2 linked regions of the Alligator mississippiensis genome follow. The protein of the gene in region 1 purifies or fractionates together with the protein of each later gene. This does not show direct contact. Links are inferred from orthologs where the notes say so. Each region holds a gene or a part of one and is shown in the gene's direction. Other genes may lie near its edges.

Region 1 (7,719 bases):
GGCATGCCCAGCACCGCTTCCCACCTTCAGAGCTGAGGACCCGCCAAAAGCAAAATAATGATGCTCTTACGTCTCTTGAAAAAAAGAAAAGTAGAGGTCAGTTTCTCTTCCCCTCAAGCACACAGTTCATCTTAAACCAGTGTAAACTTACCCAAAGCAAGGACCCGGAAGTAGTAAAATAATCTTTATTAATTGCAATAATATATATGAATATATTAAAATTATGAATATATATAGATATTTATATGTAGGTATATATATAGATCTCTCTCTCTCTCTCTCTCTATATATATATATATAGTGAGCTATAGATATATGTATCATATTGAAATATACATATATATATTTTTGTTACTGTAAAGATATATTATTGTGAGGTATTTATCTAATTGTGAGATCTCTCTCTCTCTTATTGTGAGATATCTCTATTTATCTTATTGTGAGAGAGATAGATATCTCACAATAAGATCTATCTATCTATCTATCTATCTATCTCACAATAAGAGATATCTCACAATTAGATAGAGATATCTCTCTTTATCTTATTGTGAGATATCTCACAATGAGATATCTCTCTATCTCACAATTAGATATTTAGAGAGATAGATAGATTCATAGATGTTAGGGTCGGAAGGGACCTCAGTAGATCATCGAGTCTGACCCCCTGCTCTGGGCAAGAAAGAGCGCGGCGGTCAGACGACCCCAGCCAGGTGCTTGTCCATGTCACAACCAAATTAAGTAGTGCCCATGTCACAAACAAGTAAAACCATTCAAAACAGTTTTTTTCTGCACTAGGTTAACTAAGGGTTAACAATAATGATAGTAACCGCTTTTTTGCTGCGCATGTCAAAAAGAAATTTATTGCTGCGCCACTAACAGAGATAAAACTTAGCCTTCTGTGCTGTACATAAATTATTATAATTGGTCAAAGAAAACAAGGAGTAACCCTATGATAACACCCTAGTGAAGACCGCTAGATAATTGGCGATTCTAATTAAATTTATGACGTGGCGAAAAGCAATTGGCTATTACACAAATAAAACCCGTCTTCACTTCCGTGAAGAAGGGGAGACCTCCGCACACACACCTGAAAAACCTCTGAACGTATGCGTGAAAATAACTGACAAATTGATCACTTGTCAATCTCCCCCGTCTCGACCTAATCAGACGTAAATCAACGACCTGCCGGCCCGATTTTTTCTCCATTTATCTGCCTGACCGATGAACTCTTATGCAGACCGACCTATGACCTACGAACCTTAAGCTGTAACTAACCAAGTATCTCTGACCTCCGCTATTCACCACCTTGACGGCGTGAGTAAATAATCTTGCTTTGCAACCGATAAGCGTCCGCCTAATTAATTCCACTCCAAGCATCACAAGTACCTGCCTGACGGCCTTCTAAGGCCCCGGACCCTTATCTGCCCGGGTGGGAGTCAGGGAGAGCTGCTGGCCAGCTGCCCTGGGTCCCGACAGTCCAGTCTCCTCTTGAAGACCCCCAGTGTAGGGGAGAGCACCACCTCCCTCGGAAGCCCATTCCAGATTATGGCAAACTTTACTGTGAAGAAGTTCTTCCTGATGTCCAACCTAAATCTGCTCTCCGTCAATTTGTGGCCATTGTTCCTAGTTACTCCAGGGGGTGCCCTAGTAAACAGAGTATCTCCTATTCCCCGCTGCCCTCCACTGATGAATTTATAAGCAGCCACAAGATCACCTCTCAGCCTTCTCTTGCGAAGGCTGAAGAGATCTAGGTCCCTCAGTCTCTCCTCGTAGGGCCTTGCCTGCAGGCCTCTGATCATATGAGTGGCCTCCTCTGAACCCTCTCAAGATTCTCCACATCCCTTAGTTTCATAGTTTCATAGTCAGTAGGGTTGGAAGGGACCTGAGCAGATCATCAAGTCCGACCTCCTGCCATGGTAAGAAAAAGTACTGGTGTCAAACAACCCCAGGAAGGTGTTCATCTAACCTCCTCTTAAAGACCCCCAGGGTAGGAGCCAGCACCACTTTGCTTGGAAGTTGGTTCCAGATCCTAGCCACCCTGACTGTGAAGTAGCGCCTCCTGATGTCTAGCCTGAATCTACCCTCTGCCAGCTTGTGACCGTTATTTCTAGTCACTCCTGGTAGTGCTCGGGGGAACAGGGACTCCCCCAATGCCTGCTGGTCCCCTCTGACTAGTTTGTAACAGGCCACTAGATCCCCCCTCAGCCTTCTCTTGTGGAGGCTGAACCCGTTCAGGTCCCGTAGCCTCTTCTCATAGGGCTTGCCCTGCTGCCCCCTGATCATGCGGGTGGCCCTCCTCTGGACCCTCTCAATGCTGTCCACATCCCTCCTGAAGTGCGGCACCCAGAACTGGACGCAGTACTCCAACTGCGGCCTGACCAGTGTCACATAGAGGGGGAGGATCACCTCCTTGGACCTGCTCGAGATGCACCTATGGATGCATGGCAAGGTGTGGTTGGCCTTCCTGGCCACGTCCCCACACTGTCAGCCCATGTTCATTTTGGCATCAATAATGACTCCAAGATCCTTCTCTGCCTCTGCACTGATGAGAGGGGAATTCCCCAGCCTGTAGGTCTGCTGCTGGTTTTTCCTCCCCAGGTGCAGCACCTTGCACTTGTCAGTGTTGAAACCCATCCTGTTCTCATCTGCCCACCCCTGTAACCTATCTAGGTCTGATTGCAGCCTATTCCTCCCTTCTAGCATGCCCACATCCCCCCACATCATAGTGTCGTCAGCAAATTTGAATAGGGTGCTTTTTACCTCCTCATCCAAGTCGCTGATGAAGATGTTGAACAGTGCAGGTCCGAGGACCGAGCCCTGGGGAACCCCACTGCCCACATCCCTCCAGGTTGAAAATGCCCTGTCCACCACCACTCTCTGGGTGCGGCCCTCCAGCCAGTTAGTGACCCATTTAACTGTGTAGGTGTCGACACCACAGTCCCCTAGTTTTTTAATGAGAATGGGGTGAGGGACCGTGTCGAAGGCCTTCCTGAAATCCAGGAAGACTAGGTCCACTGCTACACCTGCATCTAAGGATTTTGTGACCTGGTCATAGAAGGCCACCAGGTTGGTCTGACAGGACCTGCCTCTAATGAACCTACGTTGGTTGCCCCTAAGCATAACCTCCCCTGCTGGCCCCTCGTGGACATGCACCAGGATAATTCTCTCAAAAAGCTTCCCCAGGATCGAGGTAAGATTAACTGGCCTATCGTTTCCTGGGTCTTCCTTCCTCCCTTTTTTGAAAATGGGAACCACACTGGCCCTTTTCCAGTCCTCTGGCACCACATCAGAGCACCATGAGCGCTCGTAAAACCATGCCAGGGGTCCCGCAATGACCTCTGCTAATTCCCTCAGCACTCTGGGGTGGAGGTCGTCAGGACCAGCTGATTTAAATACATCCAGTCCCTCCAGAAGTTTCCTGACGAGGTCCTCACTGACCCTGGGCCTAGGTGCACCTCCCCTGGGGCCTGAGGGGGTCCCGGCGGATGGGCTGATCTGGTCCGTGCTCAGGAAAATGGAGGCAAATAAATTGTTAAATAGGTTAGCCTTGTCATCTGGTGCAACAACCTCTTGAAGTACGGCGCCCAAAACTGAACGTAGTACTCCAACTGCAGCCTGACCAGTGTCACACAGAGAGGAAGCATCACCTTCATGAACCTGTTCATCATGCATCTGCTAATGCCTGATCAAGTGTGGTTAGCCTTGTTGATCTCTTCGTCACATTGATGATTCACGTTCTTCTTGGAGTTAGCTATGATTCCAAGACCCCTTTCCGCTGCTGCGCTGCTGAGAAGGCCATCCCCCAGCCTGTAAGCGTGTTGGTGGTTCTTCTTGCCCCAGTGTAGCACTTTGCACTTGTCTTTGTTGAACTGTATCCTATTTCGTTCTGCCCATTTTTCCAACCTGTCCATATCCGCCTGGATCTGTTCCCTACCCTCTGGTGTGTTACCTTTGTCCCATAATTTGGTATCATCTGTGAACTTGGACGGGATGCTCTCTATGCCCTCGTCCAAGTCACTGATGAAGACAGTGAACAGCACTGGTCCCAGGACCAAGCCTTGTGGGACTCCACTGCCCACATCTTTCCAGGTTGATACCCACCCATCCACCACCACTCTCTGGGTGTGAACCCTAAGCCAATTTGCCACCCACCTGACCCTGTAATCCTCTACATCACAGCCTGTCAGTTTATTTATGAGAACAGAATGAGATACCGTATCGAATGCCTTCTTCAAGTCCAGGTAGATGACATCTATCTTGACTCCTGCGTCTAAGCATTTTGTGACCTGGTCATAACAAGATCAAGGTTAGTCAGGCAGGATCTACCTTCAATGAACCTGTGCTGATTTCCTTTCAGCATTATATCCCCTGCGAGGCTCCCTAAGCAGTTTGTGATTAGATAGATAGATAGATAGATAGATAGATAGATAGATAGATAGATAGATAGATAGATATGTCTGTCTGTCTGTCTGTCTGTCTTATTGTGAGATCTCTCTCTCTCATTGTGAGCTATCTATAGATATCTGTATGTTACGCTGATGAAGATAATCTGACCTGCTCTGTCCCCGGACTTGGCTGGGATGCCGTGGCCGTGGCCGTGGCCGTGCGGGCGGACCCGCTGGGTGCGGAGCGCGGCTGCTCGGGCGGGGGCGGGGGGCCGGCGCTGAGGCTCCGGGGGCGGAAGCCGCGGGGTTGGTGCTGCTGCCGCCGGCGCCGCGTTGCAGAGTCTGGCGGGCGGCGGCGGGACGATGCAGGCAGGCAGAGACTGGGCGGGCTTCGGGGGGCGCCGCGCAGAGCCCCCCCGGGCCGCCCCGTCCGCGCCCTTGCCCTTGCCCTTGCCCTTGCCCCTGCACCTGCCCGCCGTGCAGCAGAACCTGAGCTACGTGCCCCGGCCCGAGCTGTGGGTGGACAGCGGTGCCCCGCCGCCGCCGGCGCCGCCCGTGCCGGCCAGGCCCCGCGCCAAGCGCAGCAGCCCCGGCGGGAGCGGGAGCGGGGGCAGGGGCGGCGGCGGCCCGTGCCCCGGCCTGGCGCTGTGGGCGCTGGCGCTGCTGGCGCTGCTGGCGCTGGCGGGAGCGGGGCTCGGCTTGTTCCAGATCGTGCAGCTGCAGAAGGAGCTGGCGGAGCTGCGGGAGGTAAGGCGGAGGGAGGGAGGCCGCCTGTGGCAGGGCTGCTGGGGCCCTGATGCTGTGGTCCCCTGCTGAGTGTCCCTCTCTCTTGGCAGGCCACCAGCCCCGGGCACCTGCCCCCAGCTGCGGAGAAGCACACAGGTGAGAGCCCCTGGGCCGGGGACGTCTGAGCCCTCCCTCGCCTGCTCTGGGGTGAGCCGTGGCCCACCGGCAGCAGGACGTCGCAATACTGTAGTCACTGGGGAGCCTCCTGCCTTCTCCTGGGCCACAGGGCAGGCTTCGCCCTGGACGCTGGGCTGCCTCGGCAAGGAGGTGCCTCCTCGCTTTGGGCAGAGGAGCAGGTGTCCCTTTGCGGGTCACAAGGGCCCGGGGACCCCAGCGCTCTTCTTCTGCGTGAAGGAAGCGTGCCCAGTGCAGACAGGCCAGGCGACCACTGATGAGAGATGGGCCCAGCCCAGGTTCCCAGACCTGAAAACCCAGGAGCAACCGAATCCTGACTTGGATGCCAGCCCCTTGTGAAGCTTGCGCTTCATTAATGAAATGTCTGGCTTCCTTATGTCTGGACCCAGAGGAATAGACTTCCACCTTCAGCTGCCTCTGTGCAAAAATGAAGCTTATTTCTTTACCTATGGGGACTTTTTACCATCTTTAATTTTCCCTGAGAGTCTCAGGAAGGGCGTGCTTGCCCAAAAACTTGCAGAAAAAAATAATTTTTTTGCAGTTCTTTAGTTGGTGTAATAAAAGGTGTTGTCTCTGAACCAAGAGGTCTAGAGTCTTACATTTCTTTTTGTCTCAGACCAACCCTGCTACAAATACAACCCTGGCTTCCTTATTACACTATAAGTGATGCATGTAAGGAGAGAGGGGTGCCTAACACTATTATTTGTCTTCCTCCTCCCTGATGGTTATTTTTTTCTTTTTCCCTTAAAGTACAACATAATTTTCTTAAGTATCTTCTGTATATGTTCCATTGGGGTAACCAAAATTGCCCCAAAGTTTCCTAAGATTTGAAGAATATGGTTTCAATGAAATTGAAAGTTACCATGGGAACATGTACATTTTCATGAAACTTCACGCCAGGAAAAAAAAAAAGCAACCCCTTTTTGGGAAGGCTCTCTTGATTCTTTGCTTCAGAATGACTTTTCATTTTTCAAATTTGATTTTTCTGTCATGAATTGCAAATTGAAAATGGATAGACAACTGAATCTAAAAACGTCTTTTAATTTTTTCTTTAATGAAACATTTTGATGCATCTGAAACAATTTGTATTCCTCAAAATATTGTTTTCTGAGACATTTTGAAATGTTTTGGTTTTGTTCTGATGCAATTTTGAAATTGGGGAATTTCCTGCAAAATGGAAATTCTGATTCCCCCACAATTCTAGTTGTAACTTAGGTTCTTTATCAGCCTTTGGGAGTGAGGACTGTCTGCTTAATTGCACATTCAGTGCCTTGAAGAAGGAGACCCTACTTTCTCCTTGGGTCTCTTGGCACAGCCATAATCTCAAAGAACAAATGCTGATCCACAAATTCTTTAGAATTAAATATTACAGGGGAAATAGTACCCACAAGTATCTGGGTCCCTATAGTGCACATTTGCTTTGGAAAGCTGTTGCCAAAACTAGCTGACATGGGGCACTTTAGTCTCAGTGCACTTTTCTTGTACTGGTCGCATGGTCAACTGACTCAGCTCTCCACTAGGGTCTAAATCAGACTACAGACTCTTCACCTAACACAGTTTTTCCAGTTACTTGGTATCTTAGGAAATTTATCTGCTTTTGCCTTACATTTTTACAGCCCCCTTAAAATTTTATGCTACCTCCCTTTGTAGCAAAGACTTAATAGTTAAGAGCTGTGTATAAGAAGTCTTCAGGTGGCCTCCCAGAGCTAGAAGTTGCAGGAGTGTTGACTGGCACCTTGAATCTGCTCATTGCAATTGGGACATTAGTCCTTGGCCATAATAAACTAATTGTAGATAATTTGTGTATTGCTGCCAGGTCATTTTTGGCTTTGGCAGCTTGGAAGAGAGTTTAGTTTATTATTATTAGTGATGTGGGCTTATACTCTGCATGGACTATGAGAGTGATTCAGTCAGAACAAAGCCCAGAAGTGCAGCTATTTGTGCAATGCTGTCCTGTAGCATATCATGGGGGCAGGGGGGAATCCTTTTTTTAACCCATCTGGTGATCAGTTGCTCTCTCAAATCACAAAGTCTTGTCCCTTCATGTATTTTTTTCTAACTTGTTCTGATCCTTCTATAGTAACAGTCCTCTCTTTAAACTTTCCAGGCTACAGTATTTACCTGAATAGTGTCCCACAGCAGATAGTCCCATAGTTACTAATGCCTGCAGGATGTCTTGCATTATCTATTCCATAGTAAATCTGTCTCTCTAATTCCATGAGGAGTGTCCCTTTCTAATGTCATTTCATTATCAGGTCCTCTTCACAGAATTTGCAGCTAACTCCTTCTTTATTTTTATGCAGGGCTTCCAAATGCAACAGAAAAGATCATGGAAAAGAAAGAGGTCAGGAAAGCAGTACACTTAACGGGTAGGTGATTGAGGGCAGAGAAGCAACATTTGCTGTGTATGAAG
Region 2 (7,666 bases), on another chromosome or scaffold:
TGTGCAGCCAGGCCTACTGCTGTCAGGCACACAGTGGGGCTGGGACAACACAATGGCTGGATTTGCTTCCTGGCCGTCCTGGTGGTGGCAGCTCCTTCCAGCTGCTGCTGCCACTCTCCACTGCTGGACTCAGCTCTGCTGCCTGGGCATCTAGGCCCATCTGCCCTGTACCCACTGTCAGGCACTGCGGATGGATCACGTGGGCAGGGTCACCATGGAGACTGGCCCAGATAGGGCTGCGGACAGGCAGGGCCAGGGATGAGATCAGGATTGCTGAGTGGTGACTGTGCAGGGCTGGGGCCCAGGGGAGAGCCACAATCCATTGCCCACAAGTCCCTGCCCACCCATCCCACTGCCAGACGCTCTCTGCTTGCCCATGACCCCATCCCATCTGCCCAGTGATGTACCCTGCCCACGCGGACCTTGGCTGGTTTTCATGGAGAACCTGGGATTGCTGGAGTCAACATGGGGCTGGGGCCCAGGGAAGAGTCACAATCTGTTCCCCATATGCCCTTGCCCATGAGCCAGTGCTCTGCCTTAACCCTGCCTGCCTGCCCCACTCCCAGATGCTGCTCCCCACCTGGCCAAGCCTGAGACAGAGCCACTTAGGGAGTTTTGATGAGCTGGGGGTGGGGGGTATTGACAAACACTCTAAACACCTGGAGGAGAAAATAATTAGGAACAGTCAGCATGGATCCACCAAGGGCAAGTCATGCCTGACCAACCTGACTGCTTCCTATGATGTGATGACTGGTTCTGTGGATGTGGTATACATTGACTTTAGCAAGGCTTTTGATATGGTTTCCCACAACATTCTTGCAAGCAAGCTAAGGAAGCTAAGGAAGTATGGGCTAGATGAATGGACTATACAGTGGATAGAAACCTGGCTGGATCATCGGGCTCAGAGGATAGTAGTCAATGGCTTGATGTCTACTTGGCAGCTAGTATCAAGTGGAGTGCCTCAGGAGTCAGTCCTGGGACTAATTTTGTTCAATATCTTCATTAGTAACCTGGAAGATGGCATAGAGCGTACCCACTGCAAGTTTGCAGATGACACCAAGCTGGGGGGGAGTAGTAGACATGCTGGAGGGTAGAGTTAGGATTCAGACAGAGAGACCTCAACAAATTGAAGGATTGGACCAAAAGAAATCTTATGAGGTTCAATAAGGACGAGTGCAAAGTCCTGCACTTAGGACAGAGCAATCCCATGTCCCAGTACAGGCTGGGGGCTGACTGGCTGGGCAGCAGCTCTGCAGAAAATGACCTGGGGAACAATAAGCTGAATATGAGCCAACAGTGTGCCCTTGTTGCCAAGAAGGCTAAGAGTATACTGGGCTGGATTAGTAGGAGTGTTGCCAGCAGATCAGTGATTCTTTCCTTCTATTTGGCACTGGTGAGGCCACATCTGGAGTACTGTGTCCAGTTCTGGGGCTCCCACTACAGAAAGGATGTAGACAAATGGGAGAGTTCAGCAGAAGGCAACAACAATGGTGAAGGGGCTGGGGCACCTGACTTATGAAGAAAGTGTGAGGGATCTGGCCTTATTTAGTTTGGAGAGGAGAAAGAAGACTGAGGGGAATTGGATAACAGCCTTCAACTACCTGATGAGGGGTTCCAAAGAGGATGGAGCTGGACTGTTCTCAGTGATGGCAGAACAAGGACCAATGGTCTCAAGTTGCAGCAAGGGAAATTTAGGTTAGATATTGGGAAAAACTCTCTCACTAGCAGGGTAGTAAAGCGTTAGAACAGGTTATCCAGAGAGGTTGTGGAACCTCCATTCTTGGAGGTTTTTAAGACTTGGCTAGACAAAGCCTTGGTTGGGATGATCTAGTTGGGGATGGTTCTGCTGTGAGCAGGGGGTTAGGCTAGATGACCTCATGAGGTCCCTTCCAAACTAATTTTCTATGATTCTATTATTCAGAGACTGAGGTGAGGCTGATTAGTCTGTAGTTCCCTAGATCCTTTTTCTTCCCTTTCTTAAAGATGGGCACTATATTTGCCCTTTTCCTATCATCCAGGACCTCCCCTGACCACGATGAGTTTTCAAAGATCATGGCCAGACGCTCTGCAATCGCATTGGCCACCTCCCTCAGCACTCTTGGGTGCATCCCATTCAGTCCTGTGGACTTGTACACATCCACCTTTTCTAATTAGTCCTTAACCTGTTCTTTCACCACTGCCAGCTGCTCACCTCCTCCCCAAATTGTGCTGCCCAGTGCAGTAGTTTGGGGGCTGACCTTGCCTGTAAAGACTGAGCTGAAAAAGGCATTGAGTACTTCAAACTTTTCCACATCCTCTGTCACTAGGCTGCCTCCCCATTCTAAGGGACCCACATTTTCCCTGATCTTCCTCTTGTTACTGACATACTTGTAGAAACCCTTCTTGTTACCCTCCATGTCCCTTGCTAGCTGCAACTCTAGCCGTGCTTTGACCTTCGTGATTGTCATTCCTGCATGCCCATGCAGTTCTCTTATACTCCCCTCCCTAGTCTGTCCAAGTTTCCATTTCTTATAAGCTTCCTTTCTGTGTTTTAGCTCATTTAAGAGTTTCCTGCTAAGCTAAGCTGCTCTTCTGCCATACTTATTAGTCTTCCTGTACATTGGGATGGTTCATTCCTGCACCCTCAAGTAGTTTCTTTAAAACATAACCAGTCCTCCTGGATTCCTTTCCCCATCAGACTGGCCTCCCAGAGGATCCTGCCCATCAGTTCCCTGAGTGAAAAGGTGATTTTCTTAAGTCCAGGGTCTTTACTCTGCTGTTCTCCATCCTGCCTTTTCCTCAGGATCCTGAACTCAGTCACCTTTTGGTTGCTGCTGCCCAAGTTCCCATCCACTTCTATATTCCCCACCAAATCTTCCCTGTTTGTGAGCAGCAGGTCAAGAAGAGCATGGCCCTTAGTTGGTCACTCCTTCACTTGCACCAGGAAGTTGTTCCCAGCACTCTCCAAAAACTCCATGGATTGCCTGCGTACTGCTGTATTGCGCTCCCAGCAGATGTCAGGGTGATTGAAGTCCCCCATGAAAACCAGGGCCTGCAATCAGGAAATTTCCACTAGCTGTTTGAAGAAAGCCTTGTCCACCTCATCCTCCTGGTCTGGTGGTCCTATAGCAGACCCCCACCACGACATCACCCTTGTTGCTCTCCCCTCTGACCCTAAGCCAGAGGCTTTCAGTGGGCCTGTCTCATTTCATACTGGAGCTATGAGCAATCACACAGCTCTTTTACACAAAGTGCAACTCCTCCTCTTCTCCTCTGCCTGTCCTTCCTGAACAGTTCATAGTTTTTCCTCATCTCCAGTATAAACCTATGTTGCTGCAACTTCAAGTCATTGGTCTGAGTTCCTGCTGTTTGTAGCAAGACAGAAAAGGTCTTCTCCCTCATCTTGATGGCAGCCCTTCAGATATTTGAAGTCTATTATCATGTCCCCTCTTAAGCACCTTTTCTGCAAGCTGAATATGCCTATTTCCTTCAACATCTCACACGGCTTGCCCTTTATCTTTTTTGTTGCTCGTCTTCGGACCCTCTCTAACTTCCTGAGGACAACTGTATAATTACCCTATTTCTTTAACTTGGGATTGAAGATGTGGCTAAAGCTGCCCCCTCCCACTACCACTGCATTTACAAACTATGCACACAGTGAGTGTATGCAGATGTTTGTTTGTATTGCTGTCCCTGTATTCCCTACCTCCCCATTTTAATCTACCCATTACCTCATTTTCAAAGGCTGTAAATTAAGCAGGTTTAAGAATAACCTTTATTCTATATCCGTGTACAGCACCTCATACAATAGGGCTCCGGTCTGGTTGGTCCCTTAGGTGATACTGTAGTACTCTGCATAATTACCAATGCCTGCCAGGGCCCACCCACATGACACATGCCGATGACGAGTGAAGTACAGACCAAAAAAAAAAATGCTGTGGAAGAAACTTGATGTCATGGAAGATTAATTTCCTCCAGATGCAGGTTTCTGAAACTCCTGCTTCAAGGCTAATGGCTGGTGGGCCAGCAGCTTTCCCCTCCACAGATGAGACAAACTAATCCTCCTCCCCCACACAAAAACACACTCACACAGGACACACGTGGGACAGACTATTTCTCTTTCCACACATGAGCACACACACAGGATGCACTAGTCTTCCTTCCACACAGCACACGCACACAAATGGGATGGACTATTCTTCCTTTCCTAGACACACGCATGCACGCACACACGCAACAGACTATTTCTTCCCCACATGAAAACACATGCATACACTTGTCCCCCACGTGAACACACACAGAGGACAGACTATTCCTCCTCCCCCACACAAAGACACACACACAGAGGACACACGCGGGACGGACTAGTCCTCCTCCCCCGCCCGAACCAACACACACGTGCGCACACCAGTACACGCGTATCTCACACACGGGACGGACTCTTCCTCTTCTCCCACACGCATGCATGCACGCACTAGCTGTCTGTCTGTGTCGCACACACACGTGGCTGAGGCGGCCCCGGCCCCCGGAGCGCCGCTCTCCCCGCCGCGCGCGGCACCAGCCCCGGCCCAATCCCGCCCTCGGCCCGGTCCCGTGCTGCCCGTGGCGGGGGGCGGGAGCGGGCGTGGATAGGGCAGAGGCCGGGCCCCGCCCCCCACTGCCCCGGTTGCCGCGGCCAGGGTAGGAGCCGCCTCCGCGCCAGCGGGCGGGACCGGGATCGGGAGCGGACGGAGGAGCAGGAGCGGGCGGAGGGAGGCCCCGCACCGCCGCCATGGCCGCCAAGGTGAACACCAGGCCGGGGCCGCAGCCCCGGGACCCCCTCTTCCCCCCGCTGCGGGCTTGGGGTCCCGTCTCCCTCGGGCAGGGCCTGGGCCCGGCTCCCTGCGGTCTGGGCCGTGCTCCCAGGACGCAGAGCCCGGGGCGGACAGCCGCTGGGGTGCCCCCCGGCCCGGCCCCTTTCCCGCGGCACCCGCCCGCTGGTCGCCTCAGTCTGCCGCCCCGCTCCCCCCCTGGCGCTGCCCGGGTGCCAGGGCTGGCTTGGTTTTGGGGAGGAGCTGTTGGAAGCCCTGTCTGGAGAGGTGCTGCTTTTTGTTGCCACTCTCTGTCCGCTTAATTGGTTTGATTGCCAGGGAAGAAACTCGTGGGGTTGGTTGTAGCCCCGTTGGTCTAAGGGCACGGGCAGACGAGGTTCTTAGGGTAAACCCGATCTCTTTTATTAGAAAATAGTTGGAAAAGCTGTTTTTTGCAAGCTTTCGGGTAGGAGCACCCTTCTTCAGGCAGAGGGAGTGACTGCAGTTGTTTTGTGCTCTTCTGGACCGGGCGGGAGCCAGGGCTGTTCTGTGTCATGGAGCTGCAGGCCACACACAGGCCACAGTTATCCTTTCAGAGAGGCGATGGGCATTTCTTGATACCAGCTGCTGAAGTAAGGGCCCTCTCAGACAGGAGATAACCTAAAGTGACCGCTTTGCCGTTGCTGTGCTGTCTTGCAGCAAGGAAGTGGAGAGTTGTGGTGGTCCTGGGGGCACCTTTGGATGTGGTGAGCGAAGAGTGTAAGAAACCAGCACTTTGTTGCTGTAGCTGTCACAGAAACCAAGACTGTAATTGGGTTTTCATCCATGACCTCTGAAACTTGTCCCTGTCACTCAGCCATCGACTTTCTAGAATCAGTAGAATACTTGTTGGAGAGGGAATGTGACTTTGAGTGAAAGGTGTGGGCTACATAAACACCACCTCGTTCAGGGTTTTTCTTACCTTATTGTAACATTTAAATATATCTCTGCTACTGGTATCTGACTGAGGCACGGTTTAATCTTGGAGTTTATATACTACAGTACTTTATAAAGATTTGCAATAGTGTACTCTGGGTCAGCAGTGTGTGCTCTGTCTTTCTTCCCACTTTTATCGTAGTTTGTAACTTGTTTAGAGAAGAATACTCTCTTCAATACAATTACCTGGTGGGCAGTAGAGCTGCAACAGTTTTCAGCTTCATCTCCTTAATTTTGAGGGGAAGCTGGGTTTTCTTTCAGGTGTAAATACCTACTTGGCTTTTTGTTTTGATATACTGATAAGAGAGTAGCCTGTTACCTTGGCCTTAGCGTGCAATACATTTAAGAAAGCTTTATCTGTCATGCTTTAGATTATCAACAATAGGTTCTACTTTTAATTGTTGATGGTCCATGCAACTTCAGTACACCATTCAGAAACATAGCTAGCTATTTTTTACTTATATGAAGTAGGATTTTAGTTGTCACAGTTATCTTTACCCCAAGCGGTCCTCTTCCCCTTTCAAACTTGCTAACTCCTATTAGATCCTGCTAAATGTTGGGGAGGTACTTGCAAAAATGTTACCAAATCTTGTTTCGGATTTGTGTTACCGTGACTTGGTGGATGAGGGTTGGTTTAGGTTTTTTGGGGGTTTTTTGAGAGAAGACCACATTTTAATGCTCTATATACAGTGATTTAAGCCAGAAGACTGTTGTGATCATCTAGTTAATTGATTCTCAAGCAGAAAGTTTTAAGGGTGCCACACAATATTACTACTATTAGCACGAAGACTGACACGTGATTGACAAACTCAGAGGCTTCCAATAAGATTCCAGAGCATCAGAAACATTCAGACATGTGGTGTTTGTGTTCTTTGCAACAGAAGAGTTCCTCTGTTGTTTTTCTGCGCTCAAAACTGAGTGAGAGCAAAGTTAGCATTTTCCAAGGGGTGCCTAAAACACTGAGAACAACTGATCTTAATCTGACCTGCAAAAACACAGGACCTCCCCGAACAACTTTCTGTATTTGAATGTTGTATTTTTGAAAAAGTAGCTAATTTTAATGTTAAAAAATGGAAACTCCGTCACAACTCTCAGTCAAGACTTCCAGCAGTTAACTAACTCGCTGTTCATAAATGCGCTCTATTTTGAATTTGGTACTGTTTAGCTTTAAGCTTTCAGCCATCAGCTCTTGCTGTACTATTGTCAAGTAAATTGAAGAGCTTTCTGCACTCTCTCCAATTGGTTTCCTGCCCTGCCCCCCTCCCCCTAAAGTGCCTTTTAGCGTTGTTGTCAGTGGAGGGACATGGGTGCGTCTGAGAGTCTTATTCCAGACATTTAGATCTTGTTTTTTTTTTTTTGTTTAGAGGTTCTGAAGGCCCTCAGCTTTAATCTGTGTCAGTTGAATTGAGGACTACTTGGTACTCCTGAAAATCATATTGCATGCATCATGTTGGATACCTAATGATGAGGCATCCAAAAGTACCATATGCTTCAGAAAATGTTACCATTAATTTCCCTGTTGCTTTGCTTTCCTATTTGTGAAAAAGTGAATGCTGCTCTGATTTGCAAGTTCACAAGGAGGCTTTAGTAAAACTTGTAAAGCTTTTTGCTAGAAAAATGCTGTTTGCTTCACAGAATTTCTTCAGTTTACTAGTAGATTTCTTAGAGAAAAAATGGCTTATCATTTACCTCCATCGCCACAGTAGCTTGCAAGGTTTTGATTTAATTTGTATTGTGCCATTTGTTACCTTTTAAGCTTTATTGGGTTGGGGATGGGAGTGCTGCAAATACCTGGAAACAGTGTGATGACCCTTAAATAAAGGGAGCTTTAGCTCAGCTTAAATGTAGAGACCTATTATTTAATAAAGAAAATACTCCTGTTTCTTAGGAGGAGCCTTATTTTTAGTTCAAGTCAGTCTTTC

What was found.
Region 2: the proteins of FASLG (region 1) and SNX9 purify together in Homo sapiens (co-immunoprecipitation; 3 studies listed by BioGRID and IntAct, with this or other methods). This does not show direct contact. The link is inferred for Alligator mississippiensis from reciprocal best matches to the Homo sapiens genes FASLG and SNX9.

What each region holds. Positions count from the first base shown.
Region 1 is NC_081828.1:44,379,806-44,387,524, reverse strand, and holds the start of FASLG (tumor necrosis factor ligand superfamily member 6), read left to right. Parts: upstream 1-4,716; 5' UTR 4,717-4,748; coding exon 4,749-5,132; intron 5,133-5,221; coding exon 5,222-5,267; intron 5,268-7,609; coding exon 7,610-7,675; intron 7,676-7,719. UniProt on the Homo sapiens protein: Cytokine that binds to TNFRSF6/FAS, a receptor that transduces the apoptotic signal into cells. Involved in cytotoxic T-cell-mediated apoptosis, natural killer cell-mediated apoptosis and in T-cell development.
Region 2 is NC_081824.1:136,046,412-136,054,077, forward strand, and holds the start of SNX9 (sorting nexin-9), read left to right. Parts: upstream 1-4,597; 5' UTR 4,598-4,750; coding exon of another isoform or gene 4,751-4,762; intron 4,763-7,666. UniProt on the Homo sapiens protein: Involved in endocytosis and intracellular vesicle trafficking, both during interphase and at the end of mitosis. Required for efficient progress through mitosis and cytokinesis. Required for normal formation of the cleavage furrow at the end of mitosis.